4 linked regions of the Saccharomyces cerevisiae S288C genome follow. Changing the gene in region 3 together with the main gene of any one other region gives a genetic interaction. Each region holds a gene or a part of one and is shown on either strand. Other genes may lie near its edges. The genes, in order: RTR2, TIR3, ATX1 and DOG1.

The links.
Region 1: mutations in ATX1 (region 3) and RTR2 together harm fitness more than expected from each alone (negative genetic interaction), as found in Saccharomyces cerevisiae (one large-scale study listed by BioGRID).
Region 2: mutations in ATX1 (region 3) and TIR3 together harm fitness more than expected from each alone (negative genetic interaction), as found in Saccharomyces cerevisiae (one large-scale study listed by BioGRID).
Region 4: mutations in ATX1 (region 3) and DOG1 together harm fitness more than expected from each alone (negative genetic interaction), as found in Saccharomyces cerevisiae (one large-scale study listed by BioGRID).

Annotation. Positions count from the first base shown.
Region 1 is NC_001136.10:579,482-585,630, forward strand, and holds RTR2 (putative protein-serine/threonine phosphatase), read right to left. Parts: upstream 3,018-6,149; coding exon 2,427-3,017; downstream 1-2,426. Other genes in the region: 40S ribosomal protein uS15 RPS13, read left to right, coding at 537-971; RRG1 (Rrg1p), read left to right, coding at 1,206-2,303; OCA6 (protein-tyrosine-phosphatase), read right to left, coding at 3,310-3,984; DOS2 (Dos2p), read left to right, coding at 4,232-5,164; ubiquitin-specific protease DOA4, read right to left, coding at 5,458-6,149. UniProt on the Saccharomyces cerevisiae protein: Probable RNA polymerase II subunit B1 C-terminal domain (CTD) phosphatase that regulates RNA polymerase II transcription. May have functional redundancy with RTR1.
Region 2 is NC_001141.2:329,939-336,456, reverse strand, and holds TIR3 (Tir3p), read right to left. Parts: upstream 2,731-6,518; coding exon 1,921-2,730; downstream 1-1,920. Other genes in the region: thioredoxin peroxidase DOT5, read right to left, coding at 928-1,575; YIL012W (uncharacterized protein), read right to left, coding at 3,105-3,446; ATP-binding cassette multidrug transporter PDR11, read left to right, coding at 4,015-6,518. UniProt on the Saccharomyces cerevisiae protein: Component of the cell wall. Required for anaerobic growth.
Region 3 is NC_001146.8:153,830-159,454, forward strand, and holds ATX1 (copper metallochaperone ATX1), read right to left. Parts: upstream 4,037-5,625; coding exon 3,815-4,036; downstream 1-3,814. Other genes in the region: POL2 (DNA polymerase epsilon catalytic subunit), read left to right, coding at 1-1,051; ORC5 (origin recognition complex subunit 5), read left to right, coding at 1,271-2,710; ribosome biosynthesis protein LTO1, read right to left, coding at 3,030-3,518; DSL1 (Dsl1p), read right to left, coding at 4,280-5,625. UniProt on the Saccharomyces cerevisiae protein: Copper homeostasis factor that specifically transports copper to the secretory pathway for incorporation into copper enzymes destined for the cell surface or extracellular milieu.
Region 4 is NC_001140.6:191,735-198,227, forward strand, and holds DOG1 (2-deoxyglucose-6-phosphatase), read right to left. Parts: upstream 3,075-6,493; coding exon 2,334-3,074; downstream 1-2,333. Other genes in the region: NCP1 (NADPH--hemoprotein reductase), read left to right, coding at 1-884; DOG2 (2-deoxyglucose-6-phosphatase), read right to left, coding at 1,071-1,811; DDE1 (Dde1p), read left to right, coding at 3,817-5,499; inositol monophosphate 1-phosphatase INM1, read right to left, coding at 5,664-6,493. UniProt on the Saccharomyces cerevisiae protein: Phosphatase that is active on 2-deoxy-D-glucose 6-phosphate (2-DOG-6P), as well as on fructose-1-P.

The sequences.
Region 1 (6,149 bases), on a different chromosome or scaffold from region 3:
TGTTTATTAACACCATAGCGAGATATTAATGCAAAAGTTGCATTGAATAGTTCGCTAAATCAGATGACACTCTAATGTGGAATTCAAAAGTGGATTTCTAATATAATTTGTCTCTGTCGGATCACAATTCTATTACAAGTTCCGGTGTGTACACAGGTATAGTTTATACTGGAGAGTAGTTTCTACTCGCTGTACATTAGCTGGGTGATTCCAATTTCTTTTACAAATATGTTGCATTAGTTTAACAGGTTATACTATCTGCCGTTTCTCAGTATAATTTACGCCGGAAAATTACTGATGGCTAGCCGCCTTTATGAATTAGTTTTCACAAAGCTCATAACATAACACGTTAACCTATCGGAGGAGAACCAAGATTGAAGAATCACCCGGAATAGTTATACTTTAATGGAATTGTATGGTCTGAACGAGGAAATATGTCATGATACACTTTTCTTCAAGCCATATGAATCTTCATGTTACTAACATTCGATAAATTTTTTGGAATATCCAATTCCACTAAATATTACTTTAAACAGGGTAAAGGTATTTCTTCTTCTGCTATTCCATACTCTAGAAATGCTCCAGCTTGGTTCAAGTTGTCCTCTGAATCTGTCATTGAACAAATTGTCAAGTACGCGAGAAAGGGTTTGACTCCATCTCAAATTGGTGTCTTGTTGAGAGATGCTCACGGTGTTACCCAAGCTCGTGTTATCACTGGTAACAAGATCATGAGAATCTTGAAGTCCAATGGTTTGGCTCCAGAAATCCCAGAAGATTTGTACTACTTGATTAAGAAGGCTGTCTCTGTTAGAAAGCACTTGGAAAGAAACAGAAAGGACAAAGACGCTAAGTTCAGATTGATTTTGATCGAATCTAGAATTCACAGATTGGCCAGATACTACAGAACTGTTGCTGTCTTACCACCAAACTGGAAGTACGAATCCGCCACTGCCTCCGCTTTGGTCAACTAGAGTGTTTAAATCATTTATTTCATTATTTTATATGTATATTTTGTATAACTAAAATTGATTTTTTAAACATCTCTTTATAAACGATAAGTTGCATTTTATTTTATTTCACTATTGCTAATTTTTGTGTCCGTTTCTAACTTCAAAGCTGCTCCCAGCCTTTCCTAAGGTTTTCAGTTACCAAGTCTGCCTGAGAAAGCAACAGATTAACACTTTTGTAATGAACAAGTAGAAAATATGGCTCAAAATTTTGGAAAGATTCCTTCTCACAAGTCTTACGTATTGAGCTTATATCGGACCGTTCTCAGAAACATTCCAAAGTGTTGCCACTCATATGCGTTTCAATATGAAATAAAAAAAACACTTTCAATACAATTGTTCAAACACAAGCATGACAAGTCAAGTTGGAGTGTTTATACTTTACTCAATGAATTCAGTTTGTTGAACAATTGCCTTTTGGAAGGTAAATTACAAGAAATCAAAAACTTAATGAAGCCATTAAAAAAGATGAAAAAACAACTGAAAACAACGAAAATCCTCAACTCTTTGACTTCATTAGGGGATGTAAAGACCAACGACCCAGAAGAAGTAAGAAGATTTCATGTTCTAAGTGCTTACATTAAGCGAAAACAAGATTTGGGCCTTTTACCTGCATACATACCAAAAACGTATCAGCACAAACTCCTATTACCATTAGCATTGAACGAACATGCGTGCCTGAAACTATTTCATATTCAGCAAAAATTGAAAAATGGCCCACCTTCTGCTGGGCTGTCATATACAAAAGAAGGAAGGAATCAAATATGGTTTGTTCGGTCACCAATTAACAAGGGCAGACAACAATCGAAAAAGCTGGGAATATTGATACGAAAAGAAAGGAAGGATTCTCAGAAAAATATCGATAATCTCAATTTTTGCGAAATTAATGCTGCTTGGGCATTACATGAGGCCATTTGGGAGGAATATCTAGAGTCGAAAAAGATTATTAAAGTAAACTTACCGAAATACTTGGAATACGCTGCAAATATCCCAAAGTCTACTAAATGTAATCCTTCGAGTCAATATCAGAAAGTTAAAGAATGGGTAGATCCCGTGAGAGAAATAATGTTCGAATTACATTCCAAAAGTTTTCAAAGAGTGGAGTACTTTAACAAATATAAGGAAAAGCTTTTAAAGAACGGTGGCCAACTAGCATATTTTGATAAAAAGTCAAAAGAAATGTACGCCAAACGGTTGACACTATTCAGAAAAATGAGCAAAGAAACATTACCATATGTGACACTCTTTATAGAAGGGAGGGACTTGCCAAGTGTTTTGGCGAAATACGGTTTTTAAGTGCAAAAGTTGCGTGAATCAGAAAGTTTAATAGAAAATTTACTGGTTACTTCCATTTCTATGTAAATAGTCACTCGTATGACCGCGATAAGGATCCTGATGAAGACGATTTAATTATACTTCCTATTCTATACAGGTTTCCTCATCAGTAGTCAACTGTCCAAAGTACACATCCAATGGTAAAGGCTCATTCTTGTAGGTATCATCAAACTCAAGATCCTTGAAACTCGTTATCAGCGATTTGACGGTATCTATAGGTACCTCACTTCCAACTAATTCTTCTAAAAGGCTTACCGAGTACATATCATCAAACTCTAGATTAATGTAACTAGTTAAATGCACGCCTCGCCTTTCATGCAGAGGCGTTTGTGATAACTGTCTCATTAAATACAACGAACATTTACTGTGATAATTATTACAATACATTGAGTGGATAAAGAAGCCATCAGATGAATTTTCTGCCGCACTCTTATAGCATAGCGGGTACCCACATATTTTCTTTCCCCTTCTTGCATTAATAACATCCATATAAGACATCGGTGAAAGTAGCCGTGCTAAGTATTTTAATGTCTGCTCATTTTCGCAAAATGATTCTGTGAGCATTGAAACTATGGCAGATTCAATCATTCGGGCTTCCACTATAGATAATTGCTCATGTAATTGGTGTGATCCTAAAATTACTTTTTGAATGAACGTAGTGGTTATTATCTGCATTATGGCTTGCGTTGCTCCTGTCCTTCTAGTATAAAAATAAACCTATCACTTTTCTTAAATATGCTGCAATTTTTCCAGAATGCCTCCTTGCTGTTGATAAATGGCTTCCAATCTTCGCCAATACTAGAATGTGACCGGCTCGTCTCTTTTGTAAAGTCGATGTAATTTTCGTTGGACTTTTCAATGGCATTTGATATTGAAAAAAATGATTATCAATGCTGGAGGGCCCGGCTAAGACTTAACCCTGAAGCTTCTGTCTTTACAAAATATTATATGAATTTATCCCTGAATTTTACATACTATGAAATTTTAGTTTTGGCAAAGAATTTGACACGCTACTTACTCTTGCAACTTTTTCAGACGCATTAGCATCATCAACACGCAACTCATCTTTTGATTCTGTGGCTGTCCTTGCAATATATCGCACGGTAATCCAGGGAACTTTATCCTTTATATCCAGATCGTCAACTTCGATTTCAGAGTTAAAGTTTTCAATGAAATTTCTTTCATGAATATTGATGCTGGAATTATACACCAAAAACTCATTTAGTATGGATACCGTACTCCAATATGAAAACTTTCTCATACATGCTACTACGAGAGATATTATCAATTCACCATTCGTACAGTGCATATAACAGGGGTAATGCCCTTTATCAATCAGAAATTTAACGCATCGTACTACAACATCGTATTCAATAGGAACTGTTTTCTTTTTCCTTTTAATCTTGGGTTTGGTCTTGTCTGCCTTTCTTTCACTTTGACATTTTATATGAATTGTCTTAATGTTATTTTCTTCACAAAACTTTACCATTAGAGGATCAGTGCTCAAAGGTTCTGGTGTCAAAGATAATATGTATTTCAATCTAAGGGTTCTCAGGAATGGGAGATTGATTTCTCGTGGGTAAGATCCTCTATATAAATTTGGCTGTACAGTCGAAAATTGTAACGGAGTCACTAGTGTCATTTTGATACATATAGCTTATTCTAGATGTGTGAACTGGGTATTCATAGCAATTGTGAACCCATAGTTTATATTGGTACTCCTTTCCTTCTTAACAGAGTCTCTTTTTTTCTTTCGCATTTTTTTTGGCCTTACATCAAATAGCGGTGATTAATGATAAAAAGCACTTAGCAGAAGTCATGCAACAAAAAAAGAACACAACATAAGGGTACAGCTAGTGAGCTCCATTGCTTCGACGTTTTAGGATAAAATGGAATTCTTTTATGAAGAACAAGTAGCTTGTATCGAAGATGATAAAATAAGCAACTCTCATACCAAGGAAACTGGATCAACAGAAAACACTGAAAATAACGAACTTCAGAGCCGAGATGACAAAACAAATGAGGCCTTCCAAAAGTTAGAAGAGGAAGTCAATAAACGATATGAAAAGACTACAAGTGCATTCAAAAAGTTAGTAATCGAGAAAGATGACGGAATTGAAATTAACTTGCCAATTAGCAATGAAACTACAGAGACTGCACAAAAGTATTTGAAGAAACTAGACGAGAATATTCACAGCGTGGAAAGTCTAGCCCAGTCATATTGGAGCAAAATGAAAACTAAGAATTTTTGGTCTGGCTTCAGTAGCTTCGATAATGCTGCAGAAAATGACTCTAATGACAAGGATGAGAATTCGAAAGAAAATGAAATTGCTGTGGGTGGAAATAGAACAGAAGCCGAACTAAGGACATTATCTAAAGATAAATCGGTTTATTTAGACAATAAAATGGATTTGCAACTGGACCCGTTTGACGTGGATGAAAAAACTGAGGAGATATGTTCTATTTTACAGGGCGACAAAGATATCTCCAAATTAATGAACGACATCGTACCCCATAAAATCAGCTATAAAGATTTCTGGCACATCTATTTCTTACAAAGAAACAAAATTCTAGATAAAGAAAGTAAAAGGAAAGAAATATTGTCCAAAAAGGAAAAGGAAACGGAGGAAAAAGAAGTTGAGTGGGATGACGAAGAAGAAGAAGAAGATGATGACAAAGTAGAAGCAGTAGCTGACAACAAATCTAAAGGGGAGACGAAAGTTGCTGTGTCTCAAGAGGGATTGAAAGATGTTAGTGACCATGTTGGCCTCGCCAACAAGGATGAGAGCAAGGACGACGACGACGATGATGACTGGGAATGAGTGATTTTTTTCATATAAAAGATATATGTAATGCTATAAATATTTACATACTTTTCATGACGTATTATGGTAGAAAGGAAAATCATCAATCCAAGAGATGCACAGGAGGAAGACAAAATCTGGGCGTGATCTCATCTTTACACCTTCTAAAAAAAAGTTCGTTTGTTACCGTTAAAATAAATCATTTGTATTTAGGGTTTTTTACTTTGACCTTAGATGGAAATAATGATATGCCATGTTGAACGGGAAAAAAAGTGTATAGACAACGGTTTTCAGTTATTTATTCAAATGAATCAAACACCGTAGACGCGGTGATAAAACAAAACGTATGCATTAGAGTTAATTGCATCGGCTTTGTTTTTGACAGGTTTATATTTGGTATCATCAAAATATAGCCATCCCTTCTTTAATCCCTTTTTCACATAGGCTGTATAATGACCACCATACAAAGTACCAAAGTGGCATGCTACACCATATAATTCATACTTAAAAGGTGGTATTTGTCCCCTTATTGGTAGTTCATCGTCATTAACACCTGGAGGAAAAACCCCGTCAAAATCATTGGCCCAAAATGGAGTCAAGTCCAACAAAAAAGGGTATATGACGAAGTCATTATTTTTGTTTAATAAATTATCAAATCTCTTTAAATGGACTATCAGATTCCTCGGTAATCTCGTTATTGTCAATTGTTTCGTGGAGGGCTGCCTTTTTTCACAATGTGGGCACAACCATTGCTCATCCACTTCCAAGTTCTCACATTTGGTGAACTCTCTGAAACAATCTTCAATGGTAATATTATTTCGGGAATTTTTTTTAGGAATAGGGATTGACAGCACCGTAAAAGGTTGGTATGTTGTCGAGGTATGACTACAGACTTTACATTTTAGTCGTGAGGCGTATTGTCCCTGAAATAAGTCGACAATAACACTGAAATCAGTAGTCAAGAATCGTTCCCACTCAATTGACGAGGCAATTCGCAAAGACA
Region 2 (6,518 bases), on a different chromosome or scaffold from region 3:
TACTATACAAATAAACGAAATTTTCATAGAAACAAATCCGTGATAGTTTAATGGTCAGAATGGGCGCTTGTCGCGTGCCAGATCGGGGTTCAATTCCCCGTCGCGGAGATTTTTTTACCATAACTGATGACTACAGTTGGTGAAACGGTAGCGAGTAAATATGAAACTAGACAGCAAAAGTTGACCATAGATAATGAATTAAAAGCTGTAAATCCTGGGTACAAATCGGGATAACAAGTAAACAATGCCGAAAGTAATTCTGGAGTCTCATTCAAAGCCAACAGACTCAGTTTTTCTACAACCATGGATAAAGGCATTAATTGAAGACAACTCGGAGCATGATCAATATCATCCCTCTGGCCATGTAATTCCTAGCTTGACCAAGCAGGACTTAGCGCTACCGCATATGAGCCCGACAATTTTAACCAATCCGTGCCATTTCGCCAAAATTACAAAATTTTATAACGTTTGCGACTACAAGGTATACGCATCGATAAGAGATTCCTCACACCAAATACTTAGTTGAGTTTTCCCAAGAGTGTGTATCTAATTTTGAAAGGACTCATAATTGCAGGATCACATCTGAGACGACCAATTGCTTAATGATCATTGGCGATGCTGACTTAGTCTACGTAACAAATTCTCGAGCAATGTCTCACTTCAAAATTTGCCTAAGCAACATTTCGTCCAAAGAAATAGTGCCCGTTCTCAATGTAAACCAGGCCACGATATTTGATATTGATCAAGTCGGATCGTTAAGTACTTTCCCATTTGTATATAAATATTTATGACCTTCTGCAGGCTCGATATTTTATAAGTGTGAGAGAGTTAGAATATCTTCGTTTATCTACATATATAAAGGGAAGGGTTTGGAATATTTTACCGATAAGTACTCCTCTAGAGAAACAAAAAGGGGGTTATTAAACTTCATTCTTCTTTAAACTTTTCAGCGACTTCTAAAACCTCCTTTTTGGCGTCATTTACACTAACTTCTGGTGATATCTTAACTCTTTTGAATTTTAACTTCCCATCAACAAAAATGAAATGCGATCTAATAGAACCAGAAAGTGGCGTTTTTTTGGCTCCTAGCAACCCAATAAACTCTCTCTTTGGATCGCTTAGTAAATGATATGGCAAATTTTGTTTACTCTGAAACTTTTTCTGGGATGTCACAGAATCTGCACTCAGTCCAAAGACAGCAGCATATTTCTTGAGTTCCTGGTAATTGTCACGAAATCCACAGGCCTGTCTAGTACAACCAGGCGTGCTTGCCCTGGGATACACAAAAAACACCACAACTCTGTTATTTTCGGTGATTTTCTTCAAGGAGATAGAGTCATTATCTTCATTTAAAAGACTCAAATCAGGAATAGGATCGCCTATCTCTAATTCGTTAACATCAGATGACCTATTTGCCTCTTGAACTACTGCTTGATTAGCGTTATGTTTAGGACCCGTCTTGATTTTCTTCTTAGGCACTTCCGGTGTCGAAATAGGGGCCAGTTTGGACTCTTCCTCTTCCAACATTCTTTTGGATATTGCAATCCTGGTTGATCTACGTAGTGCTTCACCCATTCTATTAAGGAACTTTAATATTACCTGTATAAAGCTCGTAGTATTACTTCATCCAGTGGATGTAATAACAATGATATTTCTCTTCCCTTTTCTATATCTTTTTTTTCTCGACGGCTGCTACATGGCACAGCCGTCTGTGGATTTCATGCTCTTGCTCGAACATTCCTTTTTTTAATGTACAGCCAAGTGTACATTACAAGAGTAAAGAAAAAAGTGTGAAGAGAAAGCAAATTAAGTTTGTATTATCTAGGAGACAGTATATTAAAATAGGATACTAATATTCAAAAAGTGTATATTTGTTTTTTTACATATAACATTTTATAATTTATCATTAATAAGTGACAATCATAAGAGCATAGCAGCGGCACCGGCAATAGCGGCACCAACACCAGCGGAGAAGAAGCCCATGTCCATAGCTGCACCAGCGTTCTTGGAGGTAGCAGAGGAGGAGCTATTAGTAGATTTTTCTGCAGAAGAGGAGGCCTTTGCAGAAGAGGAAGCTGCAGAAGAGGCCTTGGAAGAAGCAGATGAAGCAGCAGATGAAGCAGCAGAAGAGCCAGAAGACTTGGCAGAGCTAGAAGACTTAGCAGCTTCAGAAGCAGAAGAGGAGGCAGCAGAAGAAGATTCTGAAGCAGAGGAAGAAGCAGCTGAAGAGGATTCAGAAGCAGAAGAGGAGGCAGCTGAAGAGGATTCAGAAGCAGAAGAAGAAGCAGCTGAAGAGGATTCAGAAGCAGAAGAAGCGTCTGAGGAAGCAGTGGCAGATTCGGAACCAGATTCGGAAACGGTTTGACCTAAGGAGGTAATACTGATACCCGCGCTTTGTAAAGCAGCGATGATTTCAGGTTCCAGTCTAGAAGAGTACCAAGGCACTTGAACCATGGCAGTGGTGATTTGAGCAAAGTCCATTTCGGTGAAATAACTGGTGTAGGAATCATCAGTAGCAGTGGTCATATGTTGGTAAACATCCAAAACACCAGATGGTAGGGTAAAGTCTGGATTATTCATTGCCAAGGACATATATTGTTCCAAATTGGCCTTGACATCAGCCAAAATAGCGTCAAATTCGACGATTTCATATTGTCCAACTTCAGCAGAAACCAATTGAGTGGAGGCAGCGGCAACAGCTAATAAGGCAGCGATTTTAGTGAAAGACATTGTTGTGTGTGGGCGGTTGAACAATTGGATCTGGGGAACACTAAAAAGAAAAAATCAAACAACCAGCAAGAAAATCTGCAGTAGAGAAAGGAAGAGGAGACGAAACGCTTATACTCTCCACCAAAGAATATATGTATATATATATTCATATGTACGTATACTGCCTTCTCAGACGGAAATCTGCAATCCATTCTAGGGCCTTCTAAAAAAAAGCCTACAGAAATCATGGTAAACAGGAACAATGGGTCGCCTTAAGGCACGCATATCTAAGAAACGTGTGCAGAAGCGGTAGGGTACACGTTCCTATCGTTCCATTTGGAGTCTACACACGTTTCCAACCTCTGCCTTCAGTCACAGTTTCTGAGTAACCTCGCTTACAAAAGAAATTTTTTTTCCCGCAAGGCGAAGTACGCCTCGTATAAGGCCAATGTCTCGTATGGGTGATGTAGGGCAGAAGCCAATGTCTCGTTCAAATGAAATAATGAGCTAATTAGGCTCCAAGTTTTACCACCTATCTGACGATTCTCTCTCTGCGTATAAGAAAAATGTTGAAAAAGCAACATTTTGCGCCAGGAAAAAAGCCCAATCATGGAAGTGGTGCAATACACATTCCAACTTACACACCGAGATTCTCCTGTCGTTATATTTCCACTTTGACGCCCCTTTATGCATCTTACTAATATTAGCTGTTCGAAGTACAGCTTACCTAGGCACATGTACTTTATCTCTCGAATTTTCCTGCTCAGTTTCTCCTACTCAAGTCTCTCCTAGTCTCTAAGGGAAGGCACCGTCTAGGACAGTGCCGGGCATCCTTTATGCAAGGGATATCCCCCCGCAGCCTTCTCCGTCCGTTTTCGTTTAGGCACTTCGCACAGAATTCACCGCAGAGAAGCGCCACATAGACGGCCACTTTTGTTTCCTACAACTTCCACTCTATCGTTTGGGGCCCGTGCCTTCGACTTTTACTCCATTGTGCTGCGGTTTTTGTTTGGCCTCGAACTTTTCCTGTCTGCGGATCTCCTGGTTTGGAAACAAGCTTTCCTCCATAGGCAAAATGGATACTACGGTACGAAGTATTTTCCGCAGATCCTGCTCTCACCTATATAAAACAACATACAACATCGTAAAGCTCTCTGCTCTTTTAGCTATTAATAGTATTATCACACACTTAAACCCTTTTCTCATTAGTTCGTAAACGGGTTGGTAAAAAGAACTTGCATACTGTAGCAAAAAAATTCACAACTAAACACGATAGAGTAAAATTAGAGAAGCAACGCCTCGCGGATGTCTCTTTCCAAATATTTTAATCCAATTCCTGACGCTTCAGTCACCTTTGATGGGGCTACCGTTCAATTGGAAGAATCCCTCGGTGCTGTTCAGAACGATGAAGAGTCCGCATCGGAATTCAAAAACGTAGGCCATTTAGAAATTAGTGATATCACTTTTCGTGCTAATGAAGGTGAAGTCGTCTTAGTACTGGGAAACCCAACATCAGCGCTCTTCAAAGGTCTATTCCATGGTCACAAGCATCTGAAATACTCGCCTGAAGGGTCTATTAGATTCAAAGACAATGAGTACAAACAGTTTGCTTCCAAATGCCCCCATCAGATCATTTATAATAACGAACAAGATATTCACTTCCCGTATCTGACGGTGGAGCAAACCATTGATTTTGCGTTGAGTTGTAAGTTTCACATTCCCAAGCAAGAGCGTATTGAAATGAGAGACGAGTTATTAAAAGAGTTCGGACTGTCGCACGTAAAGAAGACGTATGTGGGTAATGACTACGTTCGTGGTGTTTCTGGAGGTGAAAGGAAACGTATCTCCATTATAGAAACGTTTATTGCCAATGGGTCTGTTTACTTATGGGACAACTCGACGAAGGGTTTGGACTCTGCCACCGCCCTAGAATTTCTTTCCATTACCCAAAAGATGGCAAAAGCTACAAGATCGGTGAATTTTGTTAAAATTTCTCAAGCAAGCGACAAAATTGTCAGCAAGTTTGACAAGATTCTTATGTTAGGTGATTCCTTCCAGGTGTTTTACGGAACCATGGAGGAGTGTTTAACCCATTTTCATGACACCTTACAGATAAAAAAAAACCCTAACGATTGTATTATTGAATATTTAACATCAATCTTAAATTTTAAGTTCAAGGAAACGTCTAATTCCATTGTTGGTCTTGACACTCCATCTGTTGTTTCTGAAGAAAATCAAGCTTTAAACATCAATAATGAAACAGATTTGCATACATTATGGATTCAGTCTCCATACTATAAACACTGGAAGGCCATCACTTCAAAAACAGTGCAAGAATGCACCAGAAAAGATGTTAATCCGGATGATATCTCCCCCATTTTTAGTATTCCGCTAAAGACGCAACTGAAAACGTGCACTGTAAGAGCTTTCGAAAGAATCATTGGTGACAGAAACTACTTGATTTCTCAATTTGTTTCTGTTGTGGTGCAGTCTTTGGTTATTGGGTCCCTTTTTTATAACATTCCCCTGACAACAATTGGTTCGTTTTCTAGAGGATCTTTAACTTTCTTTTCCATCCTATTCTTTACATTTCTTTCTCTCGCCGACATGCCTGCTTCCTTTCAAAGGCAACCCGTCGTTCGTAAACATGTCCAGCTCCATTTTTATTATAATTGGGTGGAAACTTTAGCAACAAATTTTTTCGATTGCTGCTCTAAATTTATACTGGTGGTTATTTTTACAATCATACTTTACTTTTTGGCCCATTTACAGTACAATGCAGCTAGGTTTTTCATCTTTTTGCTTTTCCTTTCCGTCTATAATTTTTGCATGGTGTCACTATTTGCATTAACTGCTTTGATCGCTCCAACTCTATCAATGGCAAACCTATTGGCCGGTATCTTACTGTTAGCCATTGCCATGTACGCGTCCTATGTTATTTATATGAAAGATATGCATCCATGGTTCATATGGATTGCATATTTGAATCCTGCTATGTTTGCCATGGAAGCCATTTTGAGTAACGAATTGTTTAACCTGAAACTAGACTGTCATGAAAGTATTATTCCCAGAGGTGAATATTATGACAATATTTCATTCAGTCATAAAGCTTGTGCCTGGCAAGGCGCTACCCTAGGTAACGATTACGTCAGAGGCCGTGATTATTTAAAAAGTGGATTGAAATACACTTACCATCACGTGTGGAGAAATTTCGGTATTATCATTGGGTTTCTGTGTTTCTTCCTATTTTGCTCTTTACTAGCAGCGGAATATATCACGCCTCTGTTTACTAGAGAAAATTTATTGCGCTGGAATAACTATCTCAAAAGATACTGTCCCTTTCTGAATAGCCAAAAAAAGAATAATAAAAGCGCTATTACCAACAACGATGGCGTATGTACTCCCAAGACCCCGATAGCCAATTTTTCCACTTCATCCTCTTCTGTTCCATCAGTCTCGCATCAATACGATACTGATTACAATATTAAACATCCAGATGAAACTGTTAACAATCATACTAAGGAATCCGTAGCTATGGAAACGCAAAAGCACGTCATCTCCTGGAAAAATATCAATTATACCATTGGAGACAAAAAATTGATCAACGACGCTTCTGGATATATAAGTTCCGGATTAACTGCCCTAATGGGTGAATCTGGTGCTGGTAAGACAACTTTGTTGAATGTCTTGTCTCAAAGGACCGAAAGCGGGGTTGTTACCGGTGAATTATTAATCGATGGACAGCCCTTAACGAATATTGATGCATTCAGAAGAAGTATAGGGTTCGTTCAACAGCAAGATGTTCATTT
Region 3 (5,625 bases):
CTCACCTGAAAACTGTTACGCCTACAGCCAATATATGATGAAGGCAGTTAGAACAAATCCAATGTTTAGTTATCTGGACTTAAATATCAAACGTTATTGGGATCTGCTAATATGGATGGATAAGTTTAATTTTAGTGGATTAGCATGTATTGAAATAGAGGAAAAGGAAAATCAGGATTATACCGCTGTTTCGCAATGGCAACTAAAGAAGTTTCTGTCACCAATATATCAGCCCGAATTTGAGGATTGGATGATGATCATATTGGATAGTATGCTAAAGACAAAGCAGAGCTATCTAAAATTGAATTCAGGGACGCAAAGACCTACCCAAATAGTTAATGTAAAAAAACAAGATAAGGAAGATAGTGTTGAAAACTCGTTGAACGGATTTTCTCACCTTTTTTCCAAACCACTAATGAAAAGAGTCAAAAAGCTTTTTAAAAACCAGCAAGAGTTCATTTTAGATCCTCAGTATGAGGCAGACTATGTTATTCCTGTTCTTCCTGGTTCCCATCTGAATGTGAAAAATCCCCTTCTAGAACTTGTCAAATCACTCTGCCATGTCATGTTACTTTCAAAGAGTACAATTTTAGAAATCAGGACCCTGAGAAAAGAACTGCTGAAGATATTTGAATTGCGTGAGTTTGCTAAAGTAGCGGAATTCAAAGATCCAAGTTTGAGTCTCGTGGTGCCGGATTTTTTATGTGAATACTGTTTTTTCATTTCTGATATTGACTTTTGTAAGGCAGCTCCTGAATCTATTTTTTCATGCGTCAGATGTCACAAAGCCTTTAATCAAGTATTGTTGCAAGAACACCTGATTCAAAAACTACGTTCTGATATCGAATCCTATTTAATTCAAGATTTGAGATGCTCCAGATGTCATAAAGTGAAACGTGACTATATGAGTGCCCACTGTCCATGTGCCGGCGCGTGGGAAGGAACTCTCCCCAGAGAAAGCATTGTTCAAAAGTTAAATGTGTTTAAGCAAGTAGCCAAGTATTACGGTTTTGATATATTATTGAGTTGTATTGCTGATTTGACCATATGAGTAAGCAGTATATAACGCGAGGTTCAATGGCCTCTTTACCATGAAAAAAAAAAAAAAAAAAAAAAAAAGGTAAGGAAAAAGAGTATTTTCAATTCGTTTCTGAACATATAAATATAAATAACCGAAAAATTAGCCCTTGAACATAATTAACACTCTTCTTTGATATTTAAATCACAAGTACTTTTCTTTTATTTTCTTCTTAATACTTTTGGAAATAAAATGAATGTGACCACTCCGGAAGTTGCTTTTAGGGAATATCAAACCAACTGTCTCGCATCGTATATTTCTGCTGATCCAGACATAACTCCTTCAAATTTAATCTTGCAAGGTTATAGTGGAACAGGAAAAACCTACACTTTGAAGAAGTATTTTAATGCGAATCCAAATTTGCATGCAGTATGGCTGGAACCTGTTGAGTTGGTTTCTTGGAAGCCCTTACTGCAGGCGATAGCACGTACTGTACAATATAAATTGAAAACCCTATATCCAAACATTCCCACCACAGATTACGATCCTTTACAGGTTGAAGAGCCATTTCTTTTGGTAAAGACGTTGCACAATATTTTTGTCCAATATGAATCTTTGCAAGAAAAGACTTGCTTGTTCTTGATATTGGATGGTTTCGATAGTTTACAAGATTTAGACGCCGCACTGTTTAACAAATATATCAAACTAAATGAATTACTTCCAAAAGATTCTAAAATTAATATAAAATTCATTTACACGATGTTAGAGACATCATTTTTGCAAAGATATTCTACACATTGCATTCCAACTGTTATGTTTCCGAGGTATAATGTGGACGAAGTTTCTACTATATTAGTGATGTCTAGATGTGGCGAACTCATGGAAGATTCTTGTCTACGTAAGCGTATCATTGAAGAGCAGATAACGGACTGTACAGACGATCAATTTCAAAATGTAGCTGCGAACTTCATTCACTTAATTGTGCAGGCTTTTCATTCTTATACTGGAAACGACATATTCGCATTGAATGACTTGATAGACTTCAAATGGCCCAAGTATGTATCTCGCATTACTAAGGAAAACATATTTGAACCACTGGCTCTTTACAAAAGTGCCATCAAACTATTTTTAAGCACAGATGATAATTTAAGTGAAAATGGACAAGGTGAAAGCGCGATAACCACAAATCGTGATGACCTTGAGAACAGTCAAACTTACGACTTATCAATAATTTCGAAGTATCTGCTCATAGCCTCATATATTTGTTCATATCTGGAACCTAGATACGATGCGAGTATTTTCTCTAGGAAAACACGTATCATACAAGGTAGAGCTGCTTATGGACGAAGAAAGAAGAAAGAAGTTAACCCTAGATATTTACAGCCTTCTTTATTTGCTATTGAAAGACTTTTGGCTATTTTCCAAGCTATATTCCCTATTCAAGGTAAGGCGGAGAGTGGTTCCCTATCTGCACTTCGTGAGGAATCCTTAATGAAAGCGAATATCGAGGTTTTTCAAAATTTATCCGAATTGCATACATTGAAATTAATAGCTACAACCATGAACAAGAATATCGACTATTTGAGTCCTAAAGTCAGGTGGAAAGTAAACGTTCCCTGGGAAATTATTAAAGAAATATCAGAATCTGTTCATTTCAATATCAGCGATTACTTCAGCGATATTCACGAATGATTATCTCCCTGGAAGGTATCCAGAGGGCAGGATACGTTCGAAACAACAACTACGTTATATAAATATTTATACATAGTGGGATAGAATGAACAATTATCAAGTAAACCTTGTATTTTTTGTTCCCACGCTCTACGCTCTGTTTCTTGGATATGGTAATCAAAGATTAATACGTATAACCGTTATTAATTCAGTCCACTAGAAACTATTAAAAGCGCCCTACTGTATGGAAAAACAATGAATGAGGAGACTGAACGGCGCAAAATTGTTAGTTTAGTTGCTCTTTTTGGCGGCCGGCGATAATGTTCTTCACTTGGTATTCTTACCAGGATTGAGCCTGATTTTGTTTTGTCTTATTCTTTGCGATGTCTTCATTTTCTACAAAACCTCTAATTTCTCCGGCAATGGCCCTTGAAACGTCTTCAAAGACTTCAAATGTCACGGTGGGGGTTCTTTTATCTTTAACTAATCGATGAAGAGTTATTAGAATGGTTCTAAACTTATTTTTCAATTTTATTAACACCCTCTCAAATTCCATCACACTTTCATCATCGTTATTCATTTTCAAACCTTTCATTAAAGTACGAATGGTATGTATATTCTTTTCTAGTGTTGGACTATGCAATCCATACGATTCTATAACATCACACAAACCTTCCATTTGTCCCAGGAGCGTAAATCTTTGGAATCCCACTTGTAAACCATACTGTTTACCTTCTAGAAAGCTCTGCTTTATATTCTCATTCTGGCCCTCCAGAAAACCTTCTTGGTAATACTGTTCTTCTAGGTTTAGTAAATTATCAAAATCCATTTTTATTTGTCCAGTGATCTTTACTTTCCATTTACTCTTCAAATATGATAAGTGATTTGATTTAAACAAGTTTTTTTTCATTTTTCTTATAAAACGATTTCTCACCATGATTGAGATTTTTATATTAGTAAGATTATACTGAAAAGGCAAATGGCTACATAGCCAACAAAGAATAAAACAATAAAACAATAAAAAAAGACTTTTTTCTTCGTAAGCATCCTATTGAGAATATTAATCATTTACTTAAGTAGCTACAATACAAAATAGAGTAAAAAACTATTTCTCTTCACTTTCATTCACAATTGTTTGCCAGATCTAACTTCCTTTCCGGTTTTCTTAATCTTTTCTAAAATAAAATCGTAAGGAAGTGTAGTATATACATCTACTAATTGCTTTTCAAGGGATATATCTATTTTGGAAACGTCTGGTTCTAATTTCGTCAAAACTTTATTGACTGCACCAGAACATCCCGAGCAGGTCATGACGACATTGAATTGATAATGTTTTATCTCTGCCATCTTTTGCGCTAGTTCTCTCTTGTGTCGTTGGAAATCTCATCCTGCAATGTTTTAAGATGATTCAAGTCATTTAAGAAGCTCAAAAATGCACTACAAGATGTGCCAACTTTGCACCCCCAAAAAAAACTACCGCATCACGTGAAATTTATTAGAAAACTGAAAAAAAGACAACTTACGCATACGTAATACAAGATGTACATCTATTGCAATGATCATGTAACCTATCCTACGATTAATTATTTTTTAATCATCTAGAGCAGTGCCTCTAATTTCGTAAATATCATCAATGGCATTCCTTCGCAGGGGAGTGTCGGCAAACAATAACTCTATCCATTGGATTAGTTCGTCTGTCGCAAAAAGATAAAAATCCCCATTGTAAAACATCTCCATAATCTCCTTTAAATGTAATGGTAGAAACTTGCCCATAGTGGCGAATTTTTCTCTCATCTTTTTGTAACTTGGTTCCTTCGCTAATAATTGTATATCGGTGTTGTTCACTAATAAAGATACGAGCTCACCCAAATTTTCGGAATTGACCTCAGAGATAATCTGCCATTTTAATATTTCCTTTGTCACGCAATCGTTATATAAAAAGTTTAAGAAAGACAACAAGTAACGGGAACCTTCTTCACCTCTTATTTTCTGCAGTGGACGAACAATTTCCTTCAAGATATAAGGTAGCAGTTTCTCAATGGTGGCGTCCCACGATGGATTTCTCTCGTTCTCACGAAATTCGGTCAATTGATGCCTGATTAGTTGACAGACAATACGATATTTCATGTTCAGTTTAGTTTCCAGCAGGTTCCTTGTTAATTCTTTTATTCTATACAGCTTTTCATCTCGTTCTATTAGATATCTCATATCCACATATAATTGGCACCAATTGTGAGAAAAATTAGCTGTGCACATGGCCATATACGATGTCTGCAAAAGGTTGTATTTGTACGCAAAGTATTGCTCATCAACATGGCTATCTGCAAAGCTACTCTTGAAATTCTGTGAAATTGCCAAGAACAATTTTGGTAACTGTGTAACTTCAATGTGGTCTTTATCAAGTGATCCTACATCATGAGCTTTTAAATGTTCCTTTCCATTTTCTAGGGAAGCATCATCTATATTTTCGTCAATTGCCCAGGCTTCATCCCAGGCATTTTCTTCTTCTTCTGGTTCTTTTTCCTTCTCTTGATTTGTTTTTTCTTCCTCGTCGTCAATATTTACATCAATTTCATCACCCCATGCATCGGCATCATCATCCTCTACTTCCCAATTCCAATCATCATCTTTGGATACGGCATTATGGAGTTCTTTTTCGTTCTGTACATCTGAATCATTTTTTCCAATTTTTTCGCTCATCGTATTAGTATTGCTAGTAGTGAGCTCAACTACTTCCAAATTTTGCCAGCTCTTTTTTGGATCTTCAAATATACTTCTTATCTCACTAATATGCGATTCAAGAACTTTATCTAGTAATAAATTGTAGTATAATTGTTTGTTCATTAACAAATCCTGAATCTCTTTACCGGAATGTGTCCAATTGGTAACTTCTGATTTGGCAACTAGTCTAGTTAGTTTGTTATTTATGACAGAAA
Region 4 (6,493 bases), on a different chromosome or scaffold from region 3:
CCGTCGAGATAACCTCCAAATATTTCAACATCGCAGATGCTCTGAAATATTTGTCTGATGGCGCCAAATGGGACACCGTACCCATGCAATTCTTGGTCGAATCAGTTCCCCAAATGACTCCTCGTTACTACTCTATCTCTTCCTCTTCTCTGTCTGAAAAGCAAACCGTCCATGTCACCTCCATTGTGGAAAACTTTCCTAACCCAGAATTGCCTGATGCTCCTCCAGTTGTTGGTGTTACGACTAACTTGTTAAGAAACATTCAATTGGCTCAAAACAATGTTAACATTGCCGAAACTAACCTACCTGTTCACTACGATTTAAATGGCCCACGTAAACTTTTCGCCAATTACAAATTGCCCGTCCACGTTCGTCGTTCTAACTTCAGATTGCCTTCCAACCCTTCCACCCCAGTTATCATGATCGGTCCAGGTACCGGTGTTGCCCCATTCCGTGGGTTTATCAGAGAGCGTGTCGCGTTCCTCGAATCACAAAAGAAGGGCGGTAACAACGTTTCGCTAGGTAAGCATATACTGTTTTATGGATCCCGTAACACTGATGATTTCTTGTACCAGGACGAATGGCCAGAATACGCCAAAAAATTGGATGGTTCGTTCGAAATGGTCGTGGCCCATTCCAGGTTGCCAAACACCAAAAAAGTTTATGTTCAAGATAAATTAAAGGATTACGAAGACCAAGTATTTGAAATGATTAACAACGGTGCATTTATCTACGTCTGTGGTGATGCAAAGGGTATGGCCAAGGGTGTGTCAACCGCATTGGTTGGCATCTTATCCCGTGGTAAATCCATTACCACTGATGAAGCAACAGAGCTAATCAAGATGCTCAAGACTTCAGGTAGATACCAAGAAGATGTCTGGTAATCAGCCCACTGATCAAGCCTTCGGCGCGGTTGTTCAACCACACGATCTGTATCAAAGAAAAATAAGTTAGATAACCAAAAAAAAAAAAAATTTCATACTCACTATAAGAAATCATACGCAGTTCAACTTTTGCTTTTACATACAATTTTATCTATATATTCGTGCTTCTGCGATGTCCTTATTTATTTAATCTCTCGTCAAAGGGTTGTTTACCTGGATAACGATACCGTTCTCATTGTTCTTAACCACGGAAACCTGTGTCAAATCACAGACCACATAATCTGCACCTGCGTCAAATAAAACGCTCTTATCATACGAGGATGTTATACCCACAGTAATTGCGCCCATTGCTTTGCCGGCCTTTATGCCCACGGGTGCATCTTCAAAGACAACATACTTCAGATCCTGTTTACCAGTTAATTGCAAATCTTGACGCAATAAATCACGAGCTCTTGAGTAACCCTCGGGATCAGGCTTACCGTTCTTCACGTCAAATCCAGTAATGAAAACTTTGGGCTTTCCAACATTTTTCAATATTGTCTCGAACCATGAAAATGCCAAATATGGAGAACCAGAGGTAACGATAGCCCATTTCCTTTCAGGTAACTTTTTTTGAGTCTCAGTATCTACATCTAACGATAACAATAAATTCTCTGCACCAGGGATAAGGCTTACTGTGTCCAAATAATTATCTGCCATATCCTTTTCTAACGCAAGAACACCTTTATTATCGGTATTGTCCAATTTTGGAAAAAATTTCTTCATCATTTCTTGTGATCTTGCACCATGGGAATGCTTGAATAACTCAACAGGATCAACCCCATGCTGACGGCATAATTTTTTCCAGGCACTTTCCGCTGCAGTTGTTGTGCTGACAATAGTCCCATCTAGGTCAAAAAGACAAAGATCTACTGAAAATTGTGGCATTTTTTTTTTTTATTTTTTTGACGTAAATTTTTTATGTATATAGCAGTAAATGTATCGATAACGTGTTGGCTAATACTATAGTGAATAACAAAAAGTACTCTTAGTCTCCTTTTAGCATTTGTTTTCACCAAAGAAGATGTTGCCAGCGCATTTTAAGTTTTTGAAAAATCCTCGAGAATTACCCCTTCCCCACATTTAAAAATAATGACGGAGCGTATTCAATCTACGGAACTATTCTCTACGAGAAATAATAAGATCATTACGTAGTTCTTACATCCTGACGCAATTGTGATTAAAGATAATGATACAAAACTGAATACAAAGCATTCCAACGAAATACAGTTGATGGAAGTGTTTTGCGCTAAGGAAGATTAACATATAACCACACAACCATCTTCGAAGAAAAACTCAAAAAAAATCTTACCTCTTCAGTACCTAAAATGACATACATAATTCGACTTTTTGCTTGTCCATATGTTTTACATCTATATATATTCGTTCTTTTGTCACATTTTTGTTTACTCAGGCCCTTGTCAAAGGGTTGTTTACCTGGATGACAATACCGTTTTCATTGTTCTTAACCACGGAAACCTGTGTCAAATCACAGACTACATAATCTGCTCCTGCGTCAAATAAAACGCTCTTGTCATACGAGGATGTTATACCCACAGTAATGGCGCCCATTGCTTTGCCGGCCTTTATGCCCACGGGTGCATCTTCGAAGACAACATACTTCAGATCCTGTTTACCAGTTAATTGCAAATCTTGACGCAATAAATCACGAGCTCTTGAATAACCCTCGGGATCAGGCTTACCGTTCTTCACGTCAAACCCAGTAATGAAAACTTTGGGCTTTCCAACATTTTTCAATATTGTCTCGAACCATGAAAATGCCAAATATGGAGAACCAGAGGTAACGATAGCCCATTTCCTTTCAGGTAACTTTTTTTGAGTCTCAGTATCTACATCTAACGATAACAGTAAGTTCTCTGCACCAGGAATAAGGCTTACTGTGTCCAAGTAACTATGGGCAATATCTTTTTCTAGAGCAAGAACACCTTTATTGTCTGTATCATCCAATTTAGGGAAAAACCTTCTCAAAACCTCTTGTGTTCTTGCACCATGAGAATGCTTAAATAACTCGGAAGGATCAACACCGTATTCGTAACACAACTTGGTCCATGCTTTCTCTGCGGCCACTGTTGTACTCACTATGGTACCATCTAGGTCAAAAAGACATAGATCAGCTGAAAATTCTGCCATTATCCTTTGAACTTCTTACGTGAGTGGCAACGTAACCAACAATCTCCATCAGAACGTTATTTCCAACAGAATAATCGCGATCATTAAAAATGAAAATAAAATTAAATAAAATACTTGCAATAAAAAAGTTCCATGAAATTTATATCATTAGATGGTACCAGAGCCTATAATCTCATAGATATACGCTTCCTTCTATAGCTGAACAACGGTTGTTTGAAATGTCGGGGTTAATGTCGGAATATATAGGAATACTCTGACGTGTCTGTATCACGGAACATAACCGTGATTGAAAATTACAAGAAGCCAAGACTCTAAAGGATATGCGGTAGAAGGCGTGTGTAGAAGAGCCCAGTGTATATTTTTTCACCGATAAGATGAAGTAGATAAACGGAATTTCTGGCAAGTTACTTGGCAAAAGGATACATAGCACGAATTACTTTATTATAAATATTGTAACTGATTGCCTTGAATTGATGTTAATGAGAATCCTAGGACCCTTGGTTTGGTCATTAGCTTTTCGTTTTTCTTTGCGCGTCGTTAAGAATGAAAAAGTTCTAATATGTATCGTATCATAAACGACAGCAACTTCGAGAAGTACATTGAATGGAAATCATTCTGCAACACCTTTATAGCTTCAACATAGGTTAAGTTTTAAGCATTTCAAGTGCTTTTCAATTAAGCTATAGAAAGTTCTTTCGTTAGAAAGAAAGACAGTTAAACAAGCGGCAAAAGTTGATGAGCAATGAATTGGTCTTTTCTACTACAGCTGGTAATAACAATATTGTTAATTGTGCTGGGCGCCAACTGGTTGCTAAGCTCTTTTCTACTTGATTTTAAGAGAGATTTAACAGGGGTGGCTTTGTCACAGCAATCTAGCATATCCAGTGTTCGTAAAGAAAATGAAACAGCATATTATCGAAGCATTTTAGTGCCCACAGGATTCCCATTGACGACAGGATTAGGGCTATCTTTAAAATACAAAATAAGAAATGGCAATTTCGGTGATGTTTGGAATGCCATAATGGAAGTTTCCAAGGGAAAAAACATAATTAAATTTACAGGAAGAGAAAAAAGTTATTCGTTGAGTGAACTTAATGGTATGGCCAAGCGCATATTTCCGAAACTTTCCAATAAGAATTTCAAAAATATCGGTATAGCTAATTCTATTGCTACCGTAGAGGGTTTTACTCTCTCCTTGGCTTCCATGATGACCTCTATAAGAACAGGTTCAATACCTCATTTCTTGCCAGCTGTTCCTAGACAACGACTAGAAGATGTTGATGTCCTGATCATCGACTCATGGAAGTCTTTTAAGATGCTAAACGGCAGCGAGGATTGGTACAAGCTTATTGTTGTTTGCGATGATCCTATCGAATCACTACAATTTGATGCGAACTGTGATGTTATCACTTGGAAAGAACTTATCGACGGTTTTACCAAGGATACAGAGTACCAATACACCCCGCCAGATGACAACTCTGATGATAAGAAACTTTTTGCATACGTAACTTCACCATGGAATGGAACTAATAGTTTTAATCAAATCTGTCTGGTGAGTAATATAGCGGAATTCATCAAAGGGTTCCCCTTGGGAAATGAATTGAATAGTAATGAATACCTAACCATTTCGACAAAATTGGCAAATTCTAGTGCAAGCCTACAAATTTGGGGAAAGCTTTTTGCAGTTTTGCTGCATGGTGGGTCTGCATCTTTCATCAATCCTACAACGATAGATTGCGAGTCGTTGCAAGAAACTACGTTACTGTTTACCGAAACAAAGGATGTTGTCAAATTAATTGATTCTAATTCTAGAAGTGGGCTGCTGAATAAAATCTACTTATCCTGGGCCACGAACTTACTGAGCGAGGGTATTTTTACGAAAATTGCCAGAATCGAGCCACATTCTCTTGAAAAATTAAGATGTGTTTATTTGGCAGATAATGTGAAAGATGCTGAGGTTATTTCGACATTTCCTGAAAAAATTCCTCAGCTAAAAAAGACTAACCGAAGAATCACCCCAAGCACTGAACAATTGAATAAAATAAGAGCTCAATTAGGATCCCGTGTAGTCCTCGAGTTATATTGTCCCTACGCTATCATGGGACCTGTGGCACATACCAATTTTTATGACTATAGGGTTTTTGGAAAATCTGTGGACGATAACGTTGTATGTTATGGAACACTAAGTACAACATTAGAAGGAAAAATGGTAGAAACGGAAACAAACCCTCATTTGAACATAGAGAAGAAGCAGGGTATGTTATGTATTCGTGGTTTTAGCATAGGTAAACCAGTAGAGTCCGATCGTTTAGAGAAAGCTTTGCATTTAGCTGAAAGGTTTGGAGGAGGTGAAGGATGGATGCCTCTAGTTGGCGTTTTTGGACTATTTGGCCAAGACGGTTGCTTATACATCTATAATCAATGAGCATTATCTATCGCTTTATTATTTATTATTTATTATTATCATTATTATTATTATCATTATTATTATTACTACCAATACCTTCTATATCCCTGTGATCAGCTAAAATGATTCAAATAACTGTCATTTTAATCGTACATTTTATATTAGGCCTAATGTGCTGACGATCAGTCATATTTCAAATGGCCATCAACACAGTTCCAAAAGTCTGTGATATATTTTGTTTGTTCGTCACTTTCGTTATTAATTGTTCCCCTCACAGCCAAATATGTCCTATTGTCGACATCAATACTCCATTCACCTGGATTGGCACCTACTACACGACCGCCCACTTCTTTCAAAATACACCATCCAGCACACACGTCCCACGAATAGCAACCACCATCCCAATAACTATCAAGGTACCCCATAGCAATATATGCCATTGTCATTGCAGATGATCCTAAATTTCTGAATCCATGAACAAAACCGTAATCACATGATAGTAATTTTTCATATGTGGCCATTTTTGTCTGAAAATTCTTTCCCTCTCTAGCGGAACCTGGCTGTAATGCCACTACGGATTTATTTAGTATTAGAGAACCCATAGATTCCAATTTTGATTTATAGTCATAGTCCTTGTTGTTAACTCTCATCCCATTTCCTTTAGAAGCGGATACCAGAAGATTAATGTGAGGATTATATATAACGCCTACTACGGGCTCTTTGTTTACTGTGAGCCCAAGAGAGGTACAGCTAAATGGGAAATCATGAACAAAGTTTGTAGTCCCATCAATTGGATCAATAATAAAGGTAGGATCATCAGTAATCACGGTCTCCCCTTTCACATAACTTTCCTCTCCAATAAACTTGAAAGTTGGATATTGGGTTTTTACCGATTCCCAAATTAACTTTTCGACCTGTTTATCGATAGCAGTTACAATATCAACGCTCCTGGAGCCAGTCTTCAAGTCATAATCCTTTTGAGTGCCGGACTTGGATTTGATGATTGGTCCTA